2 linked regions of the Sus scrofa genome follow. The protein of the gene in region 1 purifies or fractionates together with the protein of each later gene. This does not show direct contact. Links are inferred from orthologs where the notes say so. Each region holds a gene or a part of one and is shown on either strand. Other genes may lie near its edges. The genes, in order: tumor necrosis factor receptor superfamily member 10B-like and CFLAR.

Region 1 (2,779 bases):
TGGGGCAGCTGACCTGTGGCCGCATTTGATGAGCTGTGTTAGAACTCGATCCCGTATCTCAAAGAATTGGTAGAAAACAGGAATGTAATAGGTCCCATCAACAATTTTTGACCATTATTACATTTTGAGATGAACGTTTTGGAATGTATTGAGTCCGTGCCATATTTTATGGAAATTAGTATAACTTGTTAACATTTTACGTTTTCCAGCGTAGCTGTGAGAGAATATGAACTTCCTTCAGCGGCCACCTTAGGTACCTATGCACAGTGGTGTGCACTGCGTTGCACACGCTTGCCCTGCATCCCCAGTACAGTCCCACGAGGCGGGCGGCCTCGGCTCCACCTCACATGTTAGCGTCTGTTTGTCCCCATCCAGCTCAGGAAGGCCGAGCTGAGTGTGAAGCCAGAGACCTTCCAAGCTCCAGGCCTTGCTGGGGCCCCAGTGCAGCTGGGGGCCCTGAGTCTCACGAGAGGGGCAGGTGCCACCCTGAGTCTCCTGAGAGGGGCAGGTGGCCCCCTCTGCCTCCTGCCACTACTGCCTTCTCCCTCCATGACGTCCGTTTCCCCTCCCCGGTGGGCCCTTCTCCCTCACTTAGGACAGGATTCTCTGGTGACCTTGACTCCCTACGGTGTCCTGGGGACATAGGGGGCCCAGGCAGCGTGTGGCCTGATTTCTCTGTGGCTGGGAAGCAGGTCAGGGATGCAGAGCAGCAGCTGCCTCAGCAGGGGGAGCTCTTCAGGTCCCGCCCTGGGGTCCAGGCCTGCCCGAGGGTCCTCTGCCCTTTCTGAAGCTGGTCCCAACCTTCTCTCTGTGACTTTCCCCCAACCTAGGCTTGAGGCAGTGCTTTGATGACTTTTCCAACATCGTGCCTTGTGATTGCTGGGACAAACTCATGAGAAAGATGGGCCTCAACCAAAATGAGATCCTTCAGAGCAGAGATCGCGCCCGGAACACCGGGGATGCCTTGTATGAGATGCTGGAGACCTGGGTCCGCCGCAAAGGGCGGGAGGCCTCAGTCAACGACCTCCTCGATGCCTTGGAAGCACTGGGGCAAAGATCCGCAAAGGAGGAAATTGAGGACAAGCTTGTGGACTCAGGAAAATTCGTCTTCAAAGAAAGTGAAGCTGGTGCTGCTGTGTCCTGAGTGTAAAAGGATCTCTTTATGAAACCACAGCTTCCCTACTTTATGTTTTTTGCTGGAAAGGGAAGCATGATTAGATACCAGCTTGAAAGAAACATCAGGTACTTGGACCAAATACTTGAATGAAGTCTACCTTCGGATATATGCCACACTTGTAAAGTTCTAGAACTTTTTGGTTAAACTAGAGTAATTTTTGAGAAATGTCATTGATAAGCGATGGTGGAAACATTTATGAATATGTGCGTGAATTTACTGAGAGCTGATTTAGGATATCATTCTGTTCAGGACACTCTTATCCTAACAGAATTGCACTTTTTACTTGTACTTTTTATAATGTGAGTTCCATTTGGATTGATATGCTTATTCTTAATTGTCTAACTGTACTATGATATTTTATGATATACATTTGTCTATTTTTATATTTTTGTACGTATTTGTATAAATGCACAAAACTTTTTGGAAATGCACTTACTCGGTTGCCTGCATGAGTTCCTAAAATAGGAGCAAGCAACAATAACAAAAGAAACCCAAAGAAGGAAGAGGAAAAAGCCCATCGCTTTAGGAGGCATCATTGAGTTCAGTTCTCCCTCATATGGGAGTTTAACTTGTCTAGGAGTAGATAACCAACTTTTAAAGTGTCCATCATTTCCAACTGATTATTTTATAGATATGGGATTATTTATATTATTTATTGGTAAATGTTTACAAATGAGCAGAGAGTGGGTCTGTTATACACAGGCTTTATTATGTTGAGGTATGTTTCTTCTATGTCCATTTAGCAGAGAGCTTTTTAAATTATCATTATAAATGGATGTTGAATTTTGTCACAATCTTCTGCATCTGTTTTGATGATCATATGGTTTTTATGCTTCAGTTTGCTGATGTGCTATACTATATGGGTTGATTCGCAGATATTGGAAAAATCCTTGCATTCCTGGGATAAATCCCACGTAATCATGGTATAGATTCTTTTGATGTATTGCTGGATTTGGTTTGCTGATATTTTGTTGAGGAGTTTTGCACATATGTTCATCGGTGATATTGGATGGCAATTTTCTCTTTTCGATGATATCTTCGTCTGGATTTGGTATCAGTTTGATGCTGGCCTCGTAGAATGAGTTCAGAAGTGTTCCTTCCTCTACAATTCTCTGGGATATTTTGAGAAAGATAGGTGTTAATTCTCACGATGTTTGGTGGAATTATTCTGTGAAGGCTCGTTGGGGTTTTTTTTTTATTATTTGGTTTGTGGGTTTATTATTATCATTGTTATTATTACTGATTCAATTTTGGCTGGTCCCAGAAGAGGGTCTGAGAACAGTTTGGGGCCACAGCCTGTAGGATTGTGAGGTTTTTTGCACTTAGTGTCTGCCCCCTGCCCTCTGGAGGCTGTCCAGAGGCTGGTGTAGGCTTCCTGGAGGGCAGGGCCTGTGCCTGCCCACTGGGGAGTAGAGCTGGGTCTTGGCCTGCTGGTGGGTAGTGCCAAGGCTTGGGTGGCTCTGCAAAGTCTTTAGGCAGTCTCTCTGCTGATGGGTGGGGCTGTGTCCCAGTTCAGTTAGTTGTTTGGCTTGAGGCATCCCAGCACTGGTGCCTAAAGCAGTTGCGGGGGGAGGCAGGTCTTGGGAGTTAAGAGGGAGGATC
Region 2 (3,824 bases), on another chromosome or scaffold:
TAACTGGCATTTAGTACATGTTTACAGGGTACGTGCCAAGCCCTGCCCTAAGTTCATTGCAAGGGCAAACTCCCTCCCTCCTCCCAACTTCCCTGTAAGGTGGGTTCTGTTATATTAACTCATTTTATAAGAAAGAAACTGAACTACAGGGAGGCTGGAAAACTTGCCCCAGATAACAATCTAGGACCCAACAAAGCCAAGATTCAAACCCACACAGTTGTATTCTAGGGCTCAACTCCGATCACGACTCTCTAATGCAGAAAAATACAAATACCCATTCAGTCCCTGCTAGCAAGAGGCCCATCACTCAGCGAGGGAAGCAAACACAGACACTGGATTTTAACCACAAATTCACAGGTTTTATCTGTGTGATTCTCTTCACACAACAGATATACACCCTGGACCAAGTCCAGTTGGAAACTTTCTGCTAAAAATATGAAACGGAACTGATTACAGCTGATTACCACTGAAAAAGGATAATTACACAATCTCTTTTAGGGAAGGAAGTTACTCATTGAGGAAACATTTTCTCATCTTCATATGGATACTTTTTTTCTCTTTGTTTTTATTAGTCAATGAATTTATCACATCTGTAGTTGCATAATGATCATCACAATTCAATTTCACAGGATTTCCAACCCACAACCCAAGCACATCCCCCCACCCCCCTTTATATGGATACTTAATAGCTAAAACAGAAAGGACAAATCTTCCATTTCAACTCTGCCTCAACTGTTTTTAAAAAAAATAAATAAATAAATAAAGGACGCATCTATTGCTTAGGAGATAGCAGTTTTCACATCTAACCATATATAGGACATGACAAAATGAGATCACATCCGAAATCCTGGGAAATTCAGCCTAATATTTGCTAATTTGACCTCTCTTAGTTTCTCTTTCCATTAAACTCACAGTGGTAACATTTTAAGTGAGCCTCAAAGACAGCTCTGACTCATTCTAAGAGAATGCTGAGAAGATGCAAAACGGTAGAAATATAACAATCAATCCTTTCAAGCAAGAGATAAATAATTAAACCAAATGCACTCATCTAGGCTCTTCTCATTCTCTTTTGATGCATCACCAGTGACTGATTCAGTTCCAGTCAGACATCCAACAATGACCACACAAAACAATCAACTCAGAGCCAAACAATGGGGACCCACAGGTAAGTACAGGCTCAGGCCAATAACAAAAGTCCAGGGTGGCAGAACTAAGGGACATCTTGCCTCTAAGCGAACACAAATGTGTCCTATTTTCAATCTTCCCCAGAAAGCTTTCAGAGTCAATCTAGGCAAAACTAGGGGGCATCTGATGATACTTAAGCCCAGAAAACCTTCCATTTTAAAGTCCCACAGCTCCTACCTGCCAGAGCATCTGGCATGGAAAGACAGGACTAAAGTTCACAACTTTCACAAAGTAGACCTTTGTGCCAGAGACAATACTACGTGGTTCCCCAACTCCCTTTCATTTTCCTCCTGACACACTGCTTGACCAAGTTCCTGGTCTGCTCCGGTTGGGTGGGGCACAGGGGTGAGTTCAGACCAAAGTAATGTGGGTAGAGCTGATGCATATCACTGTCTGGCCTGTCCCTAAAGTCTTGTGAGATCCTCGCACACTTCCTTCATCCACCAGCCAGACACAAAGGATCCAGTGGAAAACTCCAAGACCACAGATGCTGAAGCCCCTGAATGAGCACATGAAACAGAGCTCCCCAGCCCCATCCATGCTGGACTGTGACATGCGTGAGAAACTACCCTTCATGTGTGAAACCACATTCCAGCAGTGGTTTGGTGCAGCGGCTAGTGTTGGTCACTCTGAGGACGGCAGCCATCAATCCATCAATCCATCCGGTACAACCGCACCTACCTGTGTCATTGCCAACGCAATCAATTATCAGGCAGATTCCTAGGGGCTTGCTCTGCATCTTATATCTCTCTTCCGGTACATGCTGGAAAGGAAAGCAGCGATTGTTAAAGACTCTAAGCATTGTTCTGTTTCCTCGAGGTCCCCCCCCGTATCATCTCTACTTTTGGATTTCCTTGAATTTCCCTTTGGCAGGTGAGTCACTCAATAGACACAGGCTGAAGTCAGCACAGCTGACATTTCCCTTTAACATCAACAAGCTATTTCAGTTCTGATTTCATTTTAATGAAAAGTGCAGTCTCTTTTACACATGTCTTAGCTTTGTGGAGTAAAGATAATTTAAAACACAGAGAAAAGATAGGTCATATGTTTCCACAGTAACCGAATGTTGGACAAGTAAAATCTTTCCTAACCAGTACAAAAGGCCTTCTATTGCCTCTCCTTACAGAGAAGAGGTACCAGCAGAAGAAAAAGTCAGAACAAGTCAAGGTTGAGTGTCACCACCTACTTATACATTCAAGCAAATCTCAGCTAAGAAAAATTCTACTTTTGAATGTTCACTAATGCAATCCACTTCAACATCGCTCTCTTTGTTACATCCAAGGTTCCCCTTCAGAACAGAAGCGTTCCCAGAATAGCCCTCTCAGTGTCCTATTGTTGTCACAAAGAATACTTAATGGACAGCTATTTTTAAAGCCTCAGTGTTCACCATAGATACCGTGCTTACAATACAATACCAAGTCAGATCATTTATTCTGTACCTGAAGCAAAAATGCCCCAGATTCTTGAATGGATGTCTTCACTGGGTCTCCTGGGGGATGAGAGAGAAAATCCATTTAAAAAAGCTGAAGGAGAGCGAGGCTTGCTCCCATGCTGGCTGAGCTTACGTCACAGCTGTTCTCTTTCCCTATTTTCTTCCCCCTCTTATCGCTTCTGTCCCCAGCTATATTCAGCCCCGAGCTTCCAACCTCACCCTGAAAAACCTAATTGATAAGAAAACACAAGTCCCCCTGCTTAACAGGGGTTATGTAGAAAAACTACTTAAATAGACATGAAAGAAGGCCTTTCTCCAGGTGAGGACCAGGTGACTGGTGAGTTTTTAACCTGACAGGGAGAATCTAATGAACTTACCAACCAACAATACCAATAGCTTTACTGCATGTGCTGAAACGGTGGACAGCGCCTCTAGGGACTAGCCTTACAGACCCAGAGAGGGGAAAGCTTTTGTGGGTTTTCCACTTACAGACCAGATGGCCATGTTTTCTTAGTCCAGTGATGTTTGGAGATCATGTAATAAAACATCAAAGGCAAGATAAGGGACAGTGGGCTTAGCAAATGTAGTTGAGCCTTATCTCCTTGTTAAATAAAAAATGACTTTATTAGCCCCTGGGGAGGTAGAGAAATCATCAGTTTTGAAGCCATAAAGAGCTGGGTGAAACCCTAGCACTGTTACCAACAAGTTCTGTGATCTTGGGCAAGTTTCCTCTTCAAGTCTCAGAGTTTTGAGGGGTTTTGTTTTGTTTTCAATCTGAGACAAACATCTAATTTATATGATTGTTGCAAAAATGAGAAATAATGTCTAAAGACAGGCAAAGAAAATGTTAGTATCGGTAAGGTTTGGGAGAAATAAGCACTTGCAAATCTAATGCTATGTAAGGTGAAACAGTTTTATTTATTTATTTATTTTGGTCTTTTTGTCTTTTTAGGGCCACACCCATGGCATATGGAGGTTCCCAGGCTAGGGGTTGAATTAGAGCTGTAACTGACAGCCTACACCGCAGCTCATGGCAAAGCTGGATCCTTAACCCACTGAGCAAGGCCAGGGATCGAACCCACATCCTCATGGATGTTAGTTGGGTTCGTTAACCCCTGAGCCATGACGGGAACTCTGAAACAGTTTTTAAAGGACATTTAGCCTTTAAACCAATATTCTGCTGCTAGAAGTTTGTCCTAAGGAAATA

What was found.
Region 2: the proteins of tumor necrosis factor receptor superfamily member 10B-like (region 1) and CFLAR purify together in Homo sapiens (affinity purification with western blotting, with the first as the bait; 5 studies listed by BioGRID). This does not show direct contact. The link is inferred for Sus scrofa from reciprocal best matches to the Homo sapiens genes TNFRSF10B and CFLAR.

Annotation. Positions count from the first base shown.
Region 1 is NC_010456.5:7,258,395-7,261,173, reverse strand, and holds part of tumor necrosis factor receptor superfamily member 10B-like, read left to right. Parts: exon of another isoform or gene 1-253; intron 254-830; coding exon 831-1,144; 3' UTR 1,145-2,779. UniProt on the Homo sapiens protein: Receptor for the cytotoxic ligand TNFSF10/TRAIL. The adapter molecule FADD recruits caspase-8 to the activated receptor.
Region 2 is NC_010457.5:104,813,165-104,816,988, reverse strand, and holds part of CFLAR (CASP8 and FADD-like apoptosis regulator), read right to left. Parts: intron 2,675-3,824; coding exon 2,625-2,674; intron 1,949-2,624; coding exon 1,867-1,948; intron 1-1,866. UniProt on the Homo sapiens protein: Apoptosis regulator protein which may function as a crucial link between cell survival and cell death pathways in mammalian cells. Acts as an inhibitor of TNFRSF6 mediated apoptosis.